3 linked regions of the Oryzias latipes genome follow. The protein of the gene in region 1 interacts with the protein of each later gene in a pairwise test. Links are inferred from orthologs where the notes say so. Each region holds a gene or a part of one and is shown in the gene's direction. Other genes may lie near its edges.

Evidence for each region.
Region 2: the proteins of lsm1 (region 1) and lsm4 interact in binary tests that used the Homo sapiens proteins (3 or more experiments, as listed by UniProt). The link is inferred for Oryzias latipes from reciprocal best matches to the Homo sapiens genes LSM1 and LSM4.
Region 3: the proteins of lsm1 (region 1) and lsm2 interact in binary tests that used the Homo sapiens proteins (3 or more experiments, as listed by UniProt). The link is inferred for Oryzias latipes from reciprocal best matches to the Homo sapiens genes LSM1 and LSM2.

What each region holds. Positions count from the first base shown.
Region 1 is NC_019867.2:18,635,746-18,639,790, forward strand, and holds lsm1 (U6 snRNA-associated Sm-like protein LSm1), read left to right. Parts: upstream 1-1,239; 5' UTR 1,240-1,329; coding exon 1,330-1,375; intron 1,376-1,485; coding exon 1,486-1,554; intron 1,555-1,684; coding exon 1,685-1,800; intron 1,801-2,769; coding exon 2,770-2,940; 3' UTR 2,941-3,468; downstream 3,469-4,045. Other genes in the region: bag4 (BAG family molecular chaperone regulator 4), read right to left, coding at 520-609. UniProt on the Homo sapiens protein: Plays a role in the degradation of histone mRNAs, the only eukaryotic mRNAs that are not polyadenylated. Probably also part of an LSm subunits-containing complex involved in the general process of mRNA degradation.
Region 2 is NC_019862.2:13,834,490-13,838,710, reverse strand, and holds the start of lsm4 (U6 snRNA-associated Sm-like protein LSm4), read left to right. Parts: upstream 1-1,410; 5' UTR 1,411-1,530; coding exon 1,531-1,533; intron 1,534-1,959; coding exon 1,960-2,001; intron 2,002-2,241; coding exon 2,242-2,340; intron 2,341-4,032; coding exon 4,033-4,213; intron 4,214-4,221. UniProt on the Homo sapiens protein: Plays a role in pre-mRNA splicing as component of the U4/U6-U5 tri-snRNP complex that is involved in spliceosome assembly, and as component of the precatalytic spliceosome (spliceosome B complex).
Region 3 is NC_019862.2:27,136,848-27,140,876, forward strand, and holds the start of lsm2 (U6 snRNA-associated Sm-like protein LSm2), read left to right. Parts: upstream 1-1,146; 5' UTR 1,147-1,264; coding exon 1,265-1,267; intron 1,268-1,452; coding exon 1,453-1,520; intron 1,521-2,639; coding exon 2,640-2,670; intron 2,671-2,756; coding exon 2,757-2,816; intron 2,817-3,718; coding exon 3,719-3,844; 3' UTR 3,845-4,029. UniProt on the Homo sapiens protein: Plays a role in pre-mRNA splicing as component of the U4/U6-U5 tri-snRNP complex that is involved in spliceosome assembly, and as component of the precatalytic spliceosome (spliceosome B complex).

The sequences.
Region 1 (4,045 bases):
ACGAGACAGCGACTCACTTTATGTGATCCAACCCATTTTGTGTAGCTATCCTAAATCTCAAATAGAGATATGGAGAACTTGATGCTGAGAAACTTAAATGATAAACGCATTGATAAACATATACTCGTGTCTTTCTAGAAAACTAAATAAATGGATGTTAACTTGTGTTTAAATGAATGAAATAATTTGAGCTAAACCAATGATTAACTCATGAAACTCTATATGATCGCTACGATCTCCTAACGTGCAGAAGTGTTGTGTTAAATCGATATTTTCGAGTCAATGTAATTTAAAAACAAGGACTTAACTAATAAGCTAGCAGTAACTATTACATAATGCCCGCTAGCTATATTAGCTATGAAGCTAGCATGATGAACATTGCGAAGAACTTCTGCACGAACGAACAAACGGATTTTATTGTTGGGAGATTTTAAATTAATCTTTGTTTCTTTAAAGCACAATATGATCTGTCACCCCCTCCCCCCAGTAAAGTTTTTTTTAATTAATCTGCTCGCTTACCATAGTGTTACTGCAGCTTCCGTGACTATTTCCCGAGTTAGTAGAGGGCCAGCCAGTTTTCCCGTTTGGCTGCATTTGGGGTTTCTGCATCAGTTACACGTATTTTGCCATCTTCCAAAATAAGCAAGACTATCACTAGTTTACGGTTCCGCTAGAAATCTGACAGCTGATCAAAGCAGCAGCTTCCCCGCAGAAGTCAGGATCGCCTGATTGCAACCAAGAAATGAATAAATGACGCGGAACTCTGGAGACATGGTACTGCGTCTTTAAGTCGAGTAGAACCATTACAAGTAAAGAGGAGTCACTCTCTAAAACTTTCTGATCGAAATTGCTGGATGAAACCTTACAATTGCAAAACGCAGAAACGGGGAACACAATTAGAATATTTTTAATTAAAGATATTTATTTTCAATATATTTTACTGCTAAGACCAACTATTGAATTACTCCTGTAGCAGTTGTATTTTTTAAACATGTGACGCAACTTTTCAAAATTTTCATTTACGATCTTTGATGTGGCACATGCGTTGGAAGGGTTACCATCCATCATCAAATGGGGACATTTAATCCAAACATGTTTTATAGAAAATTCTTTTTGTATCATAAAATGTATGATACTTTTGTTTAAATCATTTTTACACAGTTATTTTTAGAAAATTCGAGCTATGCGCAATTACGGTGCGGAAGGGGTTAAATGTTTACAGGAAGTGTATAAAAGCACTTCCTGTGCACCGTCAAATAGAAACGGGTAAAAACATTCATGGCTTGATGGTTCAGAAATCAACTAAACGCGTGAAAACTGCAACTAAACATGAATTACGTACCAGGGACGGCCAGTCTCATTGACGATATTGACAGTAAGTTGGGCCTTATAGAAATTGCTTTTTTTAATCATAAACAAACGACACAATGTATTAGCGTGTGCCGTGTGGACGCAGATTTTTTTTAAATGTTTTTAATTTCGCAGAAAAGCACTTGGTCCTGCTGCGAGATGGCAGAACACTAATCGGTTACCTGAGAAGCATCGATCAGTTTGGTAATAAAAAATGAGAATCTTCTAAACTCTTCCATGCGGGTTTATTTTTTTATTTTTATATGATTACGCGGTGTTTCAATAGTCCTAAATTTGTTTGTTTCTTTCTTTTTTTTTTTTTTTTGTTCCACAGCCAATTTAGTCTTTCATCAGACGGTGGAGCGTATCCACGTGGGAAAGAAATTTGGAGATATTCCCAGAGGTATCTTCATCGTCAGGGGAGAAAATGTAGTCCTGCTTGGGGAAATAGTAAGTGTTTTAGAGCAATTTTTTAGTTTGTTCTAAACTTGAATGTAATTTCTGGATCAAGTTTTATTTACGTGAACTTGTTCTCAGATGCTCCGTACAGCACCAAACATCAAACTCTGAATGTGGTCAAGCATCCAGGTCTCGCACTGCAGAAAATGATGTGACTCTTATTTAAAGATCAAGTTAAATTTATATGCAAGTAAATTGTTACTTTATATAGTTACTACAGTTATAAACTTTTTTTTTTGAAAAGTTGCTGCCTAAATGAATACTTGCTTAAAAAGGAAATTGCGCACACATTGACTGTAAAGGTACCTCCATGTTAAGGTTACTTAGCAAAAACAAAAAAGGCTTAATTTTACAACTTTTTCAAATTTGCTGTTTGGTCTAGCCAGATTTTTTATTTTTCTCTCCTGGTTTTCAATATGATATAAAAGAAAAGCGGGTGGGAAAAGTGGTGAGGATTGTCAATCTTTGCTCTTTCCATATAAATACAATGCATACTTCTTCTTACTTTTTTTTTTCTTAATTATAATTTAGATTACCAATGATTACACAAATGATTGCAGGATTGCTGCTAGTTTACCTCACAACCCCAACCTAACATGATGGTGGTAGAAATGAATACGGCAACAATATTAGAGCTATCCAGCCATAGTTTGGAGCCAGATCTCAGCTCCGATGAGGGAAACAAAGAGGCACATGCATCGTTTTGTCTACAATGGATGCATCAGAATAGAGTGGTGCAGGGAGCTTGTGGCTTACCATTCGAACTTGTGTCACACAAGTTTTTCGTGGGTCCTTGAACCACGGAGTTTAAGCATCTTTTTGGGCAAAACTATGAGCAGGCCATAGCATTGAGTACTAGCAACTTTTGTTAGTGTCATGGAATGATGCACAGAGCCTAAAAGAACTTGATGACATTTTCGGATCATAAGATTTGACCTCACTCTCCTGTGTCCTGTGCAGGATTTGGATAAGCCCTGCGACACAGTCTTGCAGCAGGTTTCAATTGAGGAGATCCTGGAGGAGCAGCGGTTGCAGCAGCAGGCCAAACAGGAAACGGAGAAAGTCAAAATGCAAGCTCTGAAGGACAGAGGCCTTTCCATACCCAAAGCTGATAATTTGGACGAGTATTGAACCCTTTACAAGCCTTTTAGTTTGTATAAGACAAATGGATTTTATGTTTAACTGAAGGGTGTCTTTTGTTTTGTGGCTAGAATCATGTAAGGCACAATACTGCATTGTTTTGTTTTGCTTTTTTTTCTTTTCTTAATAGTTTCATTTAAATTGTATGGGGATGTAAGAACTGTTTAAGCAAATGGTTACAACTTGACGGCCTTTTTACAGCAGCACTTTGTCATCAATCATCATAATGACGTGAACTTTTTATTTGGAGATGGTGGGTCTGCTAGTGACTAACACTCCTGTTCTCCATTAAAACAATTGAGTTTCACTTACTAAAGCCTGCTTGAAAAATCTTTTGTCTTTGAAGGTTTAATCTGCAAGTACACAGAAAGCGGTGCGTTTAGTCATTTAAGTATTTATTGGTGACTTGACTGGCTTCCTATTGGCTAATCAAAACGTTAATTCTGTTATAGGGATGATCTTTCAGATACTGATCAATTTCCCTCATTAGCTGCTAGAATAAAGTGACGTGTAAGAGAAGCTATGCGTTTTACAGTCATCTTTATATGTACCCCGTATACTTTTTTATTTTTTTTTATTTATTTTTTTCTTAACCTATAGCAGGGTTCTGCAACCTTCAGCACATAAAGAGCCATTTGGGTTGATGTCTCAATGACCACGCCCCAGTAGGAGTCAAAGTCTTTATTTTTTTATTTTTTTAAGACTAATTTGTCTTGGATACTAATATGATAAATATAGATGAACTGTTATTTGGCATAAATAAAAAAATATAAAGAGAAAATAGCTTTTTTTTTAAAATACCGGTAGTTTAAACTTTTGATGGAGGTTCATGTGACTTCCTCTCAATAAGTGTCCTGTTTCACATGGGATCCTCTCAATCCAGCAAATGTAGAAGTGTAATGTCAGCAGTGATTAAAAATAGATATTTTAGCATTTGAGGTGCATAACAGCCAACATTTGTAAATCAAATCAACAAAAAAAAATTAGAGCTAAGTGACCCTTGCCATATTTATTAGAACCATAAGGTGAACTTAAAAATCCTTCAATTTGTTAAATAGAAAACTCACCATCCATTACTCCTTTAGTAGGAATTCTG
Region 2 (4,221 bases), on another chromosome or scaffold:
ACCTGCCGTTCTCTCTCATCCTGCACGCTGCGTCAAACCCAACGTAATGACGCCATCAACGGAATGACGGCTACGGTGGCTGAGAAATGTCAACTTAGGGAAAAAACAAAAAGAAAAAATAAATAAATAAAAACTACACAAATATCCTATTTTAATACAACCAATTGTCTTGCCTGTGTTTTATCATAAAATAAGACTTTAATTAAGTACCAAGCTATAAATTAGTTGTTGCAAAAATTGCACCAGCAAAAATATGAACGTGTTGGTCAAATTATATAAGGATTCACGTAATTCAATTACATGAATCCATTTGGTAATGAAAAAAATTATTATTTTTTAAACCACTGTCACATTTATTTAGACTTTACCAAAACCAGACAGACCTTAATCATAAAATAGAATAGAACAGAATAGAATAGAATAGACTTATTTTATTGTCACTGTGTCACATGTACACGCAACAAAATTCCAGCTTTTCCTTTTTTATAATACAAGGAGTTGTGGCAGTGATCTATTCAATATTATTCTTCTCTTTCTTCTCTATTATCCTCATTTTATCATCATTATTTTTTTTAATTTTATTCTGTACTAATTTAAGGAATAAAAATGCATTTCACTGAAAATGAAGAAAAAATTACTGTATTATGTTTAGTCTAGACACTCATACCTAATGCGAACTAATCAGCAATGGTACAATCTGAAATTTGAGACACAGGATTTTGCTATAAGATATTATTAAGCGGTTTTATGCTTTGAAGGAAATGTTTGTGTATAGATAGATAGATAGATAGATAGATAGATAGATAGATAGATAGATAGATAGATAGATAGATAGATAGATAGATAGATAGATAGATAGATAGATAGATAGATAGATAGATAGATAGATAGATAGATAGATAGATAGATAGATAGATAGATGGATGGATGGATGGATGGATGGATGGATGGATGGATGGATGGATGGATGGATGGATGGATGGATGGATAGATAGATGGATGGATAGATAGATAGATAGATAGATAGATAGATAGATAGATAGATAGATAGATAGATAGATAGATAGATAGATAGATAGATAGATAGATAGATAGATAGATAGATAGATAGATAGATAGATAGATAGATAGATAGATAGATAGATAGATAGATAGATAGATAGATAGATAGATAGATAGATAGATAGATAGATAGATAGATAGATAGATAGATAGATAGATAGATAGATAGATAGATAGATGTTACACTTGGTCCTCTGTATTTATTTTTGAATTTCGTCACAGTAAAAGAACAAAAGAAAATGCTCCTGTGTTTGATAGATAGATGTTACACTTGGTCCTCTGTATTTATTTTTGAATTTCGTCACAGTAAAAGAACAAAAGAAAATGCTCCTGTGTTTGCGCATGTTTTGCGCTAGGGGGCAGTCATGTTTTAATAAGACGTGGCACCGAGTACGTAGAAAACGAAGAAGAGTCTGCGAGTAAAAATCGTGTTGCTAATCTAAGGCAGCACAAACATAACCTACCAGAATGGTAAGTTATTACTTACAAATGGACTATTTTGTAAAAATCACACACTATATAAAAATACTGACCTGTTCTTTGGCTTCAAAAATCCCATGTAACTGGTTTAAACATCGCAAATCAAGGCTAAGCTACGCTAGCAACCAATGCTAAATTGTTTTCTGCTTGTGGAACGCTGACTATACAAGTGGTTCTTTTTAAAATTATTTTCTATATAAATATATAAGGGGGGGGGGTCACCATTTCAGATACACGTTTAGTACTAAACTAAACACAAACGAATCATTATAGTTCGGAACAGAGCTTAAGTTTCTCCGCCGACACAGAAATACATTCAGACGTGTTCTTCATTTCTGAATCAATATTCCTTTTAGAATGCATTATTTTAATATATCATAGAGATCATAAATCGGACCCATTTCTACTATTTCGCAGCTTCCCTTGTCCCTTTTGAAGACGGCCCAGAACCATCCTATGGTAAGAAATAATTGCTTTTCTTTCCTCCTTCTATTCCTTATCTGGTGATTACTGGTTAAACCATTTTATTCAGTTACTTGTGGTTTTAAGATCAGGTTTTTTGTTTTGTTATTGAGATTGTTTGCATGTTTTTCTTTAAACAATAATTTTTGTGCATTTCTTTTTGAATAAAGAAAGAACCTTTTAGAAAACCATAATCACCAGCTGACCTTTTTTTCAATGAACTTTGATTTTTTTCAGCTGGTTGAACTGAAGAATGGAGAAACCTACAACGGTCATCTGGTTAGCTGTGACAACTGGATGAACATCAACTTGAGAGAAGTCATCTGCACATCCAGGGTAACAGATTTGCTCTCATGTTCTCAGTGGAGAACGATCCATAAACTGCACACCTTAAATAAAAAAAATTAGCTTAAATTTAACAGTCGCTTACCTGTTTCCTTCAGTTTTCATTCTGACTACCTTAGCCGTTTAAAGACCCACCCCAATTAAAATAGTGTATTTGTTTGGTTTGGTTTTTAACATGTTTTGTGGCATTTTTCTCATAATGACGGACATATATAAAGAAAGTTTGTAGGCAATTAGATCCATTTACGTCTTGGTTTTCCTCGTCTGAGCTGGCATCTGGCTTTAAACTGTACGTCTGTATAGCTTCAACATTCCCCACCAATTTTCTTGCACTTGGTGTTAGATTGGGGGTATGAGGGTGTGTAAGCTAGCAGGAGAGTGGAAACAAAGGGACCTTGGAAAATGCGGCAGGCTTTTTTAGGTATATTTCTAATGAACTTCTGTCACTCTGCAGAAACTGTCCTAGAAAACAAGACAAGTTTTTCATTTTGGCTTAAAGCTGCATAATGAAAAAAAACAAAATCAAAATACTGGGAATAGATCAAAAGATAATTGAAGTGAGCCTTTAAAATATAAAGACTAATGTATAATGAAGCAATGGTTTTAGTAAAACATCCTTTGATACATGTTGGAACAAAAACCTCAACGCTAATTTTTTTTGTTAGAAGAAAAAGGACTGATTATTGTTAAAGGCCCTGTACCATGCTATTCCTAAACCATTCATGGTAAAGAATATCCATATATATATTACCTTTGGCCCACAAAAGAAAGATTTTTTAAATTAAATATTAGTTACGTGGCGCAGTGGTTAGCGCAAGATCCCCCAGCCAAGTTTTGGGGACTTGGTTGCTGTTGGTCCCCCAGCCAACTGCAAGCCCAGCCAGGTCCAAGACTTGGCTGGGGGACCTGAAAAAGAACCTGTCTGTGTGGAGTTTGCATGTTCTCCCCGTGCATACGTGGGTTTTCTCCGGGGACTCCCACCTTCGTAGGTTAATTGGTTACCTTAAATTGTCCATAAGTGTGAATGCAAGTGTGCATGGGTGAGTGATTTGTGGACCTGTGACAGACTGGTGTCCTGTCCAGGAAGCCCCCTGCCTTCACCCATGAGTAGCTGGGATAGGCCCCGGCAGCCCAGTGACCCCAAAAGGGACAAAGCGGGTTTAGAAGATGAATTAAAAAATGATGAATGAATATTAGTTATTTTCCTGAGTTATTTTCCAACCTGGAAGCAAGACGACTGGATCTGAGGCACCGGCACTTCCATGATGTCAACCTATAGCCAGCATCAACAACATGTCTGTGTCTCGCCCACGAAACAAACAACATTCAAACTTTCGTAAAGATGAATGTGCATATTGAGCATGTAAAGAGAGTTTTGCCAAACACCACTAGCTTCATGGAGTGTGTGTTTTAGCCTGGGGGCGGGGCTGGCAGCGCAGACTCTTCCTGGAAGGGGCTGTTCTCACTTATCTACATCAGCTCGTGAGAACCCGCTTGTTTTTGTGGGTTAGGTGTGGCTGGTTCCTGGAGCACAGGTTTTTAGAGGAATTCTCAGAAATGCGTGAATGGGTCAATACTGGTTTGAGGTTTCTTTATAATACACCGGGAAGTTCAAAAAAGGGATTTAGCATAGACCCTTTGAAGTATACTGGTTACACTCATCGTTTGGTCTTTTTCCCACAGGATGGTGATAAGTTTTGGAGGATGCCAGAGTGCTACATCAGGGGAAGTACCATCAAGTATCTGCGAATTCCAGATGAGATTATTGACATGGTGAAGGATGAGGTGGTTTCTAAGGGTCGTGGACGTGGAGGTGCCCAGCAGAATAAGCAGCAGGGTAAAGGAAGAGGCGGAGCCGGCCGAGGTGAGAGG
Region 3 (4,029 bases), on another chromosome or scaffold:
GATGAAAATGAATTAAGTTAACAGTTGCAGAAAGACTCACTCTATCAAGTATGTATCTTGTAATAAAAGAATTTCCAAAACATAGGAAAATTCATAAAAGGAGTAAATGGTCCAGAGTTATCTCACCTGTTTGTTTTTTATCCTGAACTAGAGTCCACTGAGACACCGTCCACTCCACAGTTTAAGCACATTTAGTGGAATTTACCCGTGTCAACAACAGAAGACCCAGGAGCAACGTCTTAACTTTCTCAAAAACAAAACAAAAGAACTTTTGAATTAATAATTATTTTAAAGATAAAACTGTGTACATTCAGTTGTGATTCGTTGCTATAGAGTTTTCTGTTTCAGATCAAGTTCGTAAACCATGATGAGTAAAGAAGCTGAAAAGATTTGTTAAAACATCTGAGTGCTCGACACTGCCCCCGTGTGGTCTTTCATCAGAATACAGAAAGAACTCTTGAAACAAAACGGTCACAATTGTGTTCATTTTCTGATTTTTATTGCATCAAACTGTAGATAAAATCAGAAAGACATTGGAGAAGAAACAGAATAAAACTCCAAATGGCACTGGAGACCAAAGGTTCTTTAAATTAGAAGACGTAAACAATAAATATATCCAGTTTTCATACAGAAAACTTTCAGCATTAAAGCATGAAAAGCATGCTTTCCTTTGACCAGTATAGAAAAACACAATTTCTTTACAAAGATTAATATCGTTATTAATATAGTTTAGGTTCTATGTTTTTATTACGACCCTACGTTTTTTTTTTGTTTTTTTTTGGTGGCCCTAAAACTCCGTCGTAATTTATAAAAGAACATTGAGGAACAAACTTAATCCTGATTAAAAACTCTTGCAGCAAATTATAGACATTTCAGGTTTGTGTTTGTGTGTGTTTTTAAATCACAGTAAAGGTCTGCATACTACAAAAAAATAAAGTTTTGAGGTACAAAAAGTATCACAAACATGTCTGGTAGCTAGACTAGAAGCTAGACTAAATCTGAATTAGACTTTTGATATTTTATTCAATTTTTTAAGAGATGGCTCATAATGTTTTTTATGTCTTTTTTTTTTAAAGAAATATGAGTGAAAGCCTAAATTTAAATCTCGGTCAATGAAAAACACCTGATAGTTCCTTAATAAACATTGAACGACAGTGTGTCTCCCTCTAGTGGCGCAAAGTGGTACTCACTCACCGCTGAAACACGGCGCAGGCTGATACGTCATCAACAGCAGCCAAACCTTCTGTAGAACACCACAGCCAAAATGGTAAGGCGTAAATCGTCATTTTAAAATGTACTTTTTTAGTTTAAGTCAAACATTTTAGGTTTCTGAGTGTCAGAATTCTTCTGAATTTCTTTTGTTTTGTCGCTGAGTTTGCTCGCAGTGTGCTGAGCCGCTTTGTCGGCCCATCATCGTGCTAACATCGTCTTTTTTTTAAAAAAAATCTACAGCTTTTCTACTCGTTTTTCAAGTCTTTGGTTGGGAAGGACGTGGTGGTGGAGCTGAAAAACGACCTCAGGTTGGTTTTGATAACTCAACATACCAATTTGTTTGGTAATGTTTCTTTTCAAAGCGCCGTTTGTGGTTAAAAATGGCGCGTGGTTCTGCTAGCGCTGTTTGAATGGGTGCAGTGAAGAGCTACTTAGCATTGACAGAGACATTGACTCTGTCAGAGTTGCTGTCTTTCCTTCTAGCTGGTGTTTTGCATCTCATGCTGGTCACAGTGGCGTGGGGTTGCCATCCCTTCCTTCCAGCATTTGTTGCAAATCTGGCTCAATAGGTTGGTGCCAGCAGCGTGAAAAATGTACTTTTTTTCCTGTTAGTTTTCTGAGCTAACTCTTGGTCTGCAAACGTGCTGCAAATTCATTTTAGACCTTTTTCCCGAAGAAGTAGGGTCAATTGCGGGGGTGGGGGTGGGGGGTCAATCAAACTAGCTGCATCTCATGATGAAAGCTCAAAAGTAAATATTAAAATTAGCTTACAGTTAGTTGTTGGGCATTCTTTAAAGACGTAACTCATAATTCTTAGCTCCTCTCACAGATGGACGATACTTAGACATGTGGTACTTTTTTTAAAAACCCATCCAAATGAAAAAAGTGGTTTTGATGCCATAAGCTCCCTGCTCTGCTCCATTCTGATGCATCCACTTGCAGGCAAATAGATTTGTCCGTCTTTGTTTTCCTGGTCTGAGCTGGCACAAATAACTGTACGGCTGGATTGCTCCAATATTACTTTTTTTTTCTTTTTTGTTGCACACCTAATGTTGGGTTAAGGGGGGGGGGTTGTAAGTTAGCAAAGGATGATGGGAAGATGGGGCAGGCTTGCTCTGCACCAACGATCTCAGACAAATTTCTAGTGAACAACTGCTGCTCTGCAGAAACTGTCCTAGAAAACGACGCAGGTTTTTTTTTTATTTTTGGCTAAAAACAGCACATTTAAAGACCACTAGGAGCGCTTTAAAAAGATAAGAGTGGGATATAAGAAAAAACAGACTTTCCTGCAGCATTGACAATAGAAATAAATTTACTGAACAAAAACTTTGACTTGTTCAATACAAATTTGCATATTCCCAGAAAGTCATTTAACATCAAAAGTTCACTGTTGCATTGAAAGCTTCATTTTCTCTTTTTCCCCCCAGTATCTGTGGGACGCTTCATTCTGTTGATCAGGTTAGAAAATAATTAATTCTTTACTTTTTTTAATTAATCAATGTATTGGTTTGCAATTTAAAAATGTTGTTCTTGTCATCATCTAGTACCTGAACATCAAGTTGACCGACATCAGTGTGACAGACCCAGAGAAGTATCCACACATGGCAAGTCCTCATCTATGGTTTACTTTTTAGTCTAAAGTTTGCATAGAGGCCTCTAAAACATACAGTTGTTTTTATTCTTTTATTTCCTTCTGTCAGTATAACAAACATTTTTAAAGTTGTCTGCTGGGTGAGAAATGTAGAAGCACACCTTTGGAAGTTCAGTTTCAGTGTAGGGCAGAGCAGACAGCAGTTCTTCAGGTAAACAGCAAAGATTTAGAAACATTTTTCAGAGTTTCTAAACTACAATTTTTCAGAAAAACATTTAAAAATATGCAGAAGTTCTACACTCACTGCCCACTTTATTAGGCGCACCTTGCTAGTACTGGGTTGGACCCCATTTTGCCTTCAGAACTGCCTTAATCCTTGGTGGCAGAGATTCAACAAAGTTCTGGAAACATTTCTCAGAGAGTTTGGTCCATATTGACATGACAGCATCACACGGTTGCTGCAGATTTGTCGGCTGCACATCCATGATGCCAATCTCCCGTTCCACCACATCCCAAAGGTGATCTATTGGGTTGAGATCTGGTGACTGTGGAGACCATCGAGTCCAGAGAACTCATTATTAATAGATGATTTCAGCTTTGCTGCGTTCAAAATCACTTAAATCACCTTTTTTCCTCATTCTGATGCTCGGGTTGAACAGCAGCAGATCATCTTGACCATGTCTAAATGCATTGATTTGCTGTCATGTGATTGGCTGGTTGGAAATTTGTGATAACGAGCAGATGGACAGGTGTGCCTAATAAAGTGGCAGGTGAGTGTAAATGTGGTTATTTGACCCGTGAGAGTGGTGGGAAAAAGAGAAGTGTTAGCTTCTGAATCCCCTTGGATGTGTTCATTCTCTTCCTCTGGAAGGCGCCCTGCCTGACTCCGTGTCTCACGTGTTTCACGCTCTCCAGCTGTCTGTGAAAAACTGTTTCATCCGCGGCTCGGTGGTCCGGTACGTTCAGCTGCCGGCAGACGAGGTGGACACTCAGCTGCTTCAGGACGCCGCTCGGAAGGAAGCCATGCAGCAGAAGCAGTGACCGGGGCTGCGGGTTCGGGGAGGGGGGCTTTAAGTCATGGGTTCTTTATAGTTCAGTTTGAAGAAGACCGCTGTGAACCGCCTCCACACACTGCGCCGGTCGATGGAGAATTGAGTGCATTCCTGATGTTGGCGATGGGCCAACTGCAGGTCTGTGGGTTTATGGACATTTTCTTTACTTCTGAG